Callithrix jacchus: one gene and its partners. Each later gene encodes a partner of the first gene's protein in a complex. Links are inferred from orthologs where the notes say so. Each region holds a gene or a part of one and is shown in the gene's direction. Other genes may lie near its edges.

Region 1 (2,597 bases):
ATTATTTATCAAATTCTTGTTTGGGATATATATATATATAATTTTTAAAGAGGATCTCGTTTTTTTCAGGTAGCCTCTATCCATATGAGGAAGTTATTAAACTAAAAATTAGGATATAAAGCAATAATAAGGAAGAGATGGATAATCTGCAAAGAGGAAGAAGAATTTACATCTGTCTGGAGCAGCCAGAGAAAATTCTAGGGAGATGCATTTGAGCTGCCTTTAAGGCAGATGCGTTCACCAAGGGAACAGACATTCCAAGTAGAGGGAACAGCTTGCACAAGGAACTGGGGAATGGGCACAACAGGTAACATGGAGAAGTACAGTTGTCCCTCAGTATCTGTGAGTGATTGGTTCCAGGACTCCATGGATACCAAAACTAGAAGATACTCAAGTCCCTGATATAAAATGGCTTGTATTTGCATATACACACATCCTCCCGTATAGTTTTTCTCTAGATTATTTAACAATACCCAATACAATGTAAATACTATGTAAATGGTTGTTATATTGTTTAGGGTATAATAACCTTTAAAAGTCTACACTTCGGTACACACTAATTTTTTTCCCAAATATTTTCAGTCGGGTTGGTTGAATTCACAAAACCCACTGAATGGAAGGGCCAAGTAGGGTGCCGTGAGGCATTGGAGGGAGGATATCAAAATAACTGGCTAGAGAGGAAGGAGGAACTTGAGGTGGAGCCGGAATGTGAGGAAATGGGTACTGTACTTGCTCACCAAACACCCTGGTTAGAGCTGAAATAACTCTTTGATGCTACAAACTCCTAAGCGACATAGTTGGGACCAGAACTCGCGCCTACTGACTTCTGGGTAATCCATCCCGGGTAGTGAAGGGACTGCCGTGCCGCCACGATAGGTCCGAAATACATAAGAGTTTATTTTCGGGGTTGCTCGTAGTCCACTCCTATTTGGGTTTCCCATTTCCCATCAGCCCCAAGCCAACCACGGATGCTTCCCGCCTCGCAGACAACACCCTCCACTAGGCACCCATACCGCTTTTAAAAGGCGACCAGAAGTTCCGGAGGCTGGCGTGCACGAACTCCAAAGACCAAGACCACAAGTCCCAGCATGCAACGCTCCCGGTTGAAAAGGGCCTCTCATAGCCACTAAGCGGACCATCATGCAACGCTCTATGAAGGGGCACGGCTCACTACAGGGGCGGCACACTTGTAGCGTCGCATACCTCGGCAACTCCAATTCCGTGACTGATGTGCTTCCGCTTCCGCTTCCGCCTCTGAGCCCTATGAGCGAGAGTTACACTACTTAGTCTCAGTGACGCCATTCTTCTGCGACCGCGTGGGCCCGGAGGTGCTGTGCGGTGTCCTCACTCCCGCTTGAAACGGTAGAGCGGTGACTTGTTTCCTGCGGCCTCTGACCTCGGAGCGAAGGGGAAAGCGGCGAGATGACGGACCGCTACACCATCCACAGCCAGCTGGAGCACTTGCAGTCCAAGTACATCGGCACGGGCCACGCCGACACCACCAAGTGGGAGTGGCTGGTGAACCAACACCGCGACTCGTACTGCTCCTACATGGGCCACTTCGACCTTCTCAACTACTTCGCCATTGCGGAGAATGAGAGCAAAGCGCGAGTCCGCTTCAACTTGATGGAGAAGATGCTGCAGCCTTGTGGACCGCCAGCCGACAAGCCCGAGGAGAACTGAGACTGCCTTACCAACGCCGTGCGCGGCGCCTCTCCCAGCGTTCCTCCCGTTTGCCAAATCCCTCGAGTATTCCTGCCTTCAAGGGACCGGCTCTCTCCATGGCTCCTGCGTCCCGCGCTTTCTGCGTATAGAAGTGCTTGCCGGGGAAGTCCCTCCTGACCCGCCTTCATGTGGACACTTTGGGACAGCATTGAGAGACCAGCAGGACCCCTGAGAACTGTGCTGGCGGAGAGGTCCTGCAGCCGGCAAGTCTCTGAGAAGAGGGCGTGGCGCTGGAGTGAGATGGGATTTGGCGTCTCGTTTTTGCCTAATTGATTGTCATTGGCTTTTTCCATAAAGTTTAGAAATCGTTCAGTCTCTTGGTGTGAACTTCCTGTGTTAGGGTGGAGGGCTCCGGAAAGAGCTCCAGGCACCGAGGTTCGCGAGAGTCCGAGTGGGAAATGGGTTTGGGTGAGGGTGCGAATGCCAGTGTCTGTGGCCAGGCACTTAGATATGCCTGTATACCTTTATAGTGTTCCCCGACTGCCACTTCCTCCAAGAGCTTTATTTTCAGTCTCACAATGACTTCAGTTTTGAAGTTTGCGGTTAATGTATCCCATCTTTTTCTTCTGTTTTAAAAATCTTTGCTGTCATTGTTTTCCCTAGCCTCTTTAAATTACATCCTTTCTTTTTCCTGGGAATTTGAAACCATGTCTCCAGAAATGACAAGATGGCAAGCGAGTTCATCCATTCTACATTCAACAAATATTTGTTGAGCTCTATGTGACAGGCATTTTCCCATGTTCTTGGGTATACATTAATGCTGGTGGTGGAGAAAGGTCAAACACTGTAGGCATAGCAAGCAAATGTTAGAAGGTGGTGCTGGGAGGGGAGAATTATGTATATGGTGTGGGTGGGGTAGCTGGTAGGGTTGT
Region 2 (3,658 bases), on another chromosome or scaffold:
GTTGTTACCAGGTGGCGCCTAAGCACCCTGGTGATGCTTTCTGTTCCCTCTTCCCTTCAGGAACATTGTTCCCTGGCTTAAGAAGTATGGGACCAACCCCAGCAATGGAGAGGTAGGTGGCTGTGCGGGAGTTTCAGTGATGGTGGTGAACGCCTTCCTCTCACCTCTCCTGTTCTGGTGGTTTTCATGAGGCCCAGTGAGGAGGAACAGTCTTCCCCTCCTCTCTCTACACCCATTCCTTTCCATAAACGCTTCCTGTCTGTGCACATATATATATATATATATGCATATCTTTTCTCAGGCCATAGCTGTGATCCAGTATGACCTCATCTTACTATATCTGCAGAGACCTTGTATCCAAGTAAGGCCACAGTTCCAGTGAGCATCAGTTTTGGGGGGACATTATTCGGCTTGGTCTTGAGGGAGAGCTCGTGTATTTTACCAGTGACCTTGCCCTTTCTGTTGGAGTTCCTTGCATTTATTCCTCCACCTTTTTCCTGTGGCCTGGGGCAAGAGCTCAAACTGTGCAAATGAGGTGGAGGGTCAGGACTCCAGCAGGTTCCCTGTGCTGGATCCACTGGGAGGGAGTTCCCTGGACAATACACCCCTCCCTGCCAGGCCAGCAGGAGAAGCTGGCAGCCCATCTGTGCTGTCTCAGCTCTTCTGACCCTTGTGACTTTCTGGGGGCTGCAGGGTTCTGTGCACTCTTTATAGATGGAGTTAGCGCTCCTCCAAGGCTTTCCTGCTCTTGAAAATGAGGGAACTTGGCCAGGGGACTGATTTTGAGTGTCCTTGGACCAGCTGCTAAAGCCTATGGCTTTTGTCTTTCAGATGCTTAGGTAGGGGGCTTGTGGGGGCTTGTGACCTCACCTTAGGGAGGGCAGTCTTCTTCCTTGGTCTTTATCACTTAAAGACTGTGTTCTGTGGTTCATGCCTGTAATCCCAGCACTTTGGGAGGCCAAGGTAGGCAGATCTCAAGTTCAGGAGATCGAGACCATCCTGGCCAAAATGGTGAAACTCCGTCTCTACTAAAAATACAAAAAAATTAGCTGAGCATGGTGGTGCATGCCTGTAGTCCCAGCTACTCGGGAGGCTGAGGCAGGAGAATTGCTTGAACCTAGAAGGCGGAGATTGCAGTGAGCCGAGATTGTGCCACGGCACTCCAGCCTGGGCGGCTGCAAGTGCAAGACTCCATCTCAAAAAAAAAAAAAAAAAAAAAAAAAAAGACTGTTTCTGTGATATCTGCTGCTGACACCACATTGGATTCCAGGGGCTTCCCCCAGGGTCCGTGCCCCAGTCTGGGAAGTCATCCTCTGTGTCTCTTCTCAGCAGGAGTTCCTGCTGCCCGCCTATGCCCTGTGTGGCTGGGTGTCAGCCTCAGGGAGCAGCCTGGTGACGAGGTGGGGTAGGTGGGGTTTTCCTGTCCCCAGCTACTCATGGCCTCTGCTGTCCCAGTGGATGTTGTTTATTCAGTTGCAGCTGGGGTGCATTTCGTTACTTTGGGTGTTTTGCTTCAAAGGTGCTCTTTGGGGTTTACAAACTTGCCGATTGTGCTGGGCCCCACAACCACAAAGCCTGATCTGGCAGTTAGCCATTCTGTGAGGCGCCACCATTTCTTTGTTCCAGTTGTCATATTGGGGTGAGTTTGCAGGGGTGCCCCATGTGTCCTTATCCTCTCCCCTGGCGTGCTCTGGAAGGGGTCTTGCTGTGGGCTTGCTTGGACAGACCTATGGGCGTCAGCAGAGCCTTGCTAGCCAAACCTCTGGAGGAGAGTCCCTGGGCCAAGGGCTGGTTTGCCCATATGACTTTTGGGGGCTCAGAAGGAGCCTGTTTTGTATGTGGGGGGGTGTCCCTGCTCAGGTCCTGTGCCTGAATAGGGACCCTGTTGACCCTCTGGTGGTCTCTTCCTTACCTATAGTGATGTAGGAAGGTGGGGGTAGTTAAATGACGAAGGAATGAAGGCAGTGGAGGAGCAGATGTGGTCAGTTAGGCCGGCCAGCAGCAGGCAGGACCCACAGAGGGCGGGGAGGGCAGCACGAGGGCCTGCTGCAGTTTCAGGGCCAGGCCCAGGAGGCTCCTCCTGCCTCTCCCCTGGTCCTGGGTAGGCAGAGCTGGGCCCAGCCCACACCAGCTAGCAGCAGCTGCTGGGATGTGGCCCCCAGTGAGGTGCTCCCCAGCAGCACATAGCTCTGACAGCCCCGCCCCCAGCAGTTCCCGCCTCTGATTGTCCAGACTTTGTTTTATGGGAAAGTTTCCTGTAGAAGAGCTGAACTGCAGACACGCCACCAGAAGTGGGGGAAATAAGAAAAAAGAAAAAACATCCAGAAACAGAAAAATAGAGGGTCCCACCGTCCCAACACAACCACTCGTAGCGTTGGGGTGCATTTCTTCCCTTTCTCCCCACTTTTAATGTTTTTTTTTCCTTAAATATTCACATAACAGAATAATAAGGCAGACCCGTGTGTTGCCCCACTAGCTGAAGAAATACCTTTTTTTTTTTGAGACAGACTCTCACTCTGTTGCCCGGCTGGAGGGCAGTGGCGTGATCTCGACTCACTGCAATCTCCGCCTCTTGGGTTCAAGCGATTCTCCTGTCTCAGTCTCCCTGGTAGCTGGGACTACAGGCACCTGCCACCATGCTCAGCTACGTTTTGTGTATTTCCTACAGATGGAGTTTCACCATGTTGGTCAAGATGGTCTCAATCTCTTGACTTTGTGATCTGCCTGCCTCAGCTTCCCAAAGTGCTGGGATTATAGGCATGAGCCACTGCGCCTGGGGAAATTTGTTCATTTTTTAATTTTAGAAGTAATCTGTGCTCACCATAAAAATGTCCAAACCCTGCAGAAATATACCACCACCCAGCGGCCTGGTCTCAGCTCGGAATCACCCGTGATGGCTCTTCACAGAGAATGGTGGGGGTGCCACATAAACACAACCGCCTGATGCCATCCTGCAGCCCACATGAGGTCCTTGCAGGGGCTTGGGGCCTTCCCTTTTGTCCAGAGCTGCCCAGAGTTGGCTGGTCAGAGACCTTTTCAGCCCATCTCTGTTTGACCCCAGTATCTCTGTGCATCAGTCACGTATTCATTATCATTATTAACTCTGCTTCTTCCAGAAACTGGACGGGAGGTCCCTGATCAAGCTGAACTTTGCCAAGAACAGTGAAGGTGAGTGGAACCGTTGGGGCCAACTCTAGGCTTGGCTTGCCGACGACCCAGGCTCCTGGCTCTCACCAGGTCTCATATGGAATCAGTCATTCCTTTCTGACCAAGCTGGATACCTGCTTTTAGTCCTCAAAAAGTGTCACAGGATTTCTTCTCAAAGATCTGGGTAGTTTTAGGCTGGAGATGGGAGGGGGCAGAATCTTGGGTGTTGGGAACTTTCCACAAAGGTGATTGGGCCGTCATGAGCTGCCAGTGGCCTTTGTGGGCATAGTCGGAGTTGCAGGGCATGGGCCTCCTCTGGCTGAGGCTGTGGTCTGTTTGGAGGCAGAAGTTGCTCTGCACTGGGAACTAGGGCAGCAGCTGGGGAGGGAATGTGGTGGTCTGGAGGGATTTGTCGGGTAGCTCTCAGGCTGGGCGTTTCCTCACTACAGCTCATAGGGCCTAGCCCAGCCCAGCCCAGCTCAGCAGCTCCTGCTTCATGTCCCTTACACAC
Region 3 (3,032 bases), on another chromosome or scaffold:
TATGGCCTCATCATGTTAGTGTTGTTAGTGCCCTTCCCCTGAAGTGTGACATTCTCACATTCCGTTCTGTAACCACAACTATTGTCCATTAGTTCTTTCATTCAGTAGTCCAGAAGTAGTCCCATCATACCCATTCCTAGACTTTCAGTACCTGATCTTTCAGCTTTTTAAAATTCTTGCAAGCTGTCTATTTATATTCTTTCTCCAGTTTATAAATCATTATCTTTGATTTAAAGCATTTTCTTCATTATATTATGTCTGTTGCATTTTTATAGATTTGGGATGTGAGAACTAAAGCCAGCGTACACACGTTATCTGGACATACAAATGCAGTTGCTACAGTGAGATGTCAGGCTGCAGAACCACAAATTATTACAGGTATGATTGATACTTTTCAAGTTTACAGCATATTCATAACAGAATCCATGTTATACATACACTTTTAATAGTCACGATGACTCATGCTTTGTATTGTGTTTACAGTGTTTCTGTGTCATATTTTAATCATGGACATTTGAAATATATTCAAATGAAATTTCATTTCACTGTTTTTATCTCATGCTTTTTACATATCATAGAGTATGCCATACATAGTATCCTGTAATGTCTGACTAGAATACTGTGTTATGAGCAGTTTACTATTTTACAGTGTCAAAATTATTTTTCTAGAAAATTAAAGTTAGAAGACAAAATACCTTGAGACTAGTAACCTTTAGAACCTTTAGAAATGATTTGAATCTTGTTTTTCTCTAAATAAAGTTGGATCTTTAATACTAGAAAATAATTCCTGTGCCTGTTGTATTTTATTAACTTAAAAAATCATTGGAGTTTTTCCCTTTCATGAGGGTATAAAATCATATATTTGTTTTATTTGTTATTTGCGTTTGTTCTAGCTGTTCAATTGACAGTGAATCAATTGTAATTTTTTAAAGATTTAAAGTCAACCTAAACGTTTGGAACTATGAAGAAATTAGCCAAGACTAATTTCCAAGTGATAAGACTTTTATTTAGAACATATGTGTTTTGGAAGAATGCTTTGTATTTTATTTAATTTTCATTCTTTTTTCTGGTCTGTTTTGAGAGATGTATGTATTTCCATTACAGGAAGCCATGATACTACAATTCGATTATGGGATCTGGTGGCTGGAAAAACAAGAGTGACTTTAACAAATCACAAAAAATCAGTTAGGGCTGTAGTTTTACATCCAAGACAGTAAGTGTATTTTCCTAATTAGCTTCTCTTTTTTCTTCAGTTCTTAGTATAATGCTGAAATGCTCGTGTCAGCATGCTTTTTGGCAGTCATTTAGCTGCTGTCATTTCTAGGCCTGTGTCACACAGGAACATGTGTTTCTTTTATTTTCTTCATGCACTATTTTGCTTTATTCCCTATAAAACATAAGGAAAGCCTTCTACTTGATAACACGTAAATAATGTCAAATCAGACAATGTAAATATATCATGATTAAATGCTGCTTGTCAAAATAAAAGATATTAGTGACTGGGCTTAATGTTTTGGACATAAATGATCTGAACACTGAGACATTCATTGAATAGTTTAATTCTTAAGGAGGAAGTTAATATATGTAGAAAGAGAAATAAGAAATCTGGACAGTATAGTCAAAGTATCCCAGGAGGTGGAACATAATATCACTACTACTGTTTGTTCTATCAGTTCACCCTGACACTTTCCTGGTTATATGCATATCCTTTCTCTCTCCCCCTTCCTTCTCTCTGTTTTTCACTCTCCATACCCTTTTCTCCTCTCTTCTTCCTTCCTTTGCTTGTCTTTCTCACTCCCATTTCTCCTCCTCACTCCCTTTCTCTTCCTCTTGCCCTCTATTCCTTTCCTTCTCTTCCTTTCTTTCCGTTCCTGTCTTGCTCTCCCTCCCTCTGTAAGAGTTGCATTTGCCTTGCCCTTCATGTGAAACAGGGCATTTGCACATTTATTGTTCTAGCTTACTGCAGAGATTAAGGAAATGAAAGGAGAATAAAACATTCATCTAGGACTTAAAATATACTGTTTAAAATTTGAAAATCCGATTTATCTTTGAACGAATGTCTTAATATTTTTACATTTTGATATGACAGTATTTTGCTGAATACATAAATAATTGAGTGCACATGCAAAATATAACTATAATAAGCTTTATTATAGTGTTTCTGTGTCATATTTTAATCGTGGACATTTGAAATGTATTCAAATGAAATTTCATTGCACTGTTTTTATCTCATGCTTTTTACATATCATATCGTATGCCATACATAGTATCTTGTGTTCTGTTACCCCACTTTATTTAACTTGGTTTACTTTGTCATTAATTCTTTTTAATATTATTTCAGTTACACATTTGCATCTGGTTCTCCAGATAACATAAAGCAGTGGAAATTCCCTGATGGAAGTTTCATTCAAAATCTTTCTGGTCATAATGCTATTATTAACACGTTGACAGTAAATTCTGATGGAGTACTTGTATCTGGAGGTAAAATAAGATTTTTATAATCAATATGTTTGGTCTCTTATTTTTTTCTTTTAATGATGAATAAATATTTGTAATGCTTCTAAGCTGTGACACTTAAGTATTAGAGCAGCACTTGCCCGATTAGGGTATATGTGCATGTTACTATGGGTGTTTATGCATATTCATAATACATGTAGTATATTTCATAGTTTAGTTCTCTTTGAGTTCCCACCTAAAGAATCTCAGGGATTTATACTGGGAATTGCCCAAAATTTTGTTTGGTATTCTGGAATTGATGTCAGACTTTGCGGTGCTTTTTAAGATCTATAAGATCTATAAATTCTGAACCCAGCACAAATGAAATGAGACAAACTATTATTAAGAGAAGGTTGAGTGCCTGTGTCGTATGTATTTTTATAATTGTAGTATTGCCTTGGTGCTTGGGCTAATTTTGCTTAATAAATGTCAGGCTGTACTGCTGAAGGGATACCAGGTGTAACTAGATTTTTTTCCCTTTAAGCTGACAATGGCACCATGCATCTTTGGGATTGGAGAACTGGCTACAATTTTCA

Evidence for each region.
Region 2: SF3B5 (region 1) and PPIL2 share a complex: the UniProt entries of both Homo sapiens proteins name them as parts of the minor spliceosome. The link is inferred for Callithrix jacchus from reciprocal best matches to the Homo sapiens genes SF3B5 and PPIL2.
Region 3: SF3B5 (region 1) and PLRG1 share a complex: the UniProt entries of both Homo sapiens proteins name them as parts of the minor spliceosome. The link is inferred for Callithrix jacchus from reciprocal best matches to the Homo sapiens genes SF3B5 and PLRG1.

The regions. Positions count from the first base shown.
Region 1 is NC_133505.1:150,851,875-150,854,471, reverse strand, and holds SF3B5 (splicing factor 3B subunit 5), read left to right. Parts: upstream 1-1,302; 5' UTR 1,303-1,422; coding exon 1,423-1,683; 3' UTR 1,684-2,038; downstream 2,039-2,597. Other genes in the region: uncharacterized protein LOC118153004, read right to left, coding at 1,204-1,302. UniProt on the Homo sapiens protein: Component of the 17S U2 SnRNP complex of the spliceosome, a large ribonucleoprotein complex that removes introns from transcribed pre-mRNAs.
Region 2 is NC_133502.1:193,645,123-193,648,780, forward strand, and holds part of PPIL2 (RING-type E3 ubiquitin-protein ligase PPIL2), read left to right. Parts: intron 1-60; coding exon 61-112; intron 113-3,116; coding exon 3,117-3,168; intron 3,169-3,658. UniProt on the Homo sapiens protein: Has a ubiquitin-protein ligase activity acting as an E3 ubiquitin protein ligase or as an ubiquitin-ubiquitin ligase promoting elongation of ubiquitin chains on substrates.
Region 3 is NC_133504.1:42,079,378-42,082,409, forward strand, and holds part of PLRG1 (pleiotropic regulator 1), read left to right. Parts: intron 1-275; coding exon 276-378; intron 379-1,104; coding exon 1,105-1,213; intron 1,214-2,341; coding exon 2,342-2,481; intron 2,482-2,980; coding exon 2,981-3,032. UniProt on the Homo sapiens protein: Involved in pre-mRNA splicing as component of the spliceosome. Component of the PRP19-CDC5L complex that forms an integral part of the spliceosome and is required for activating pre-mRNA splicing.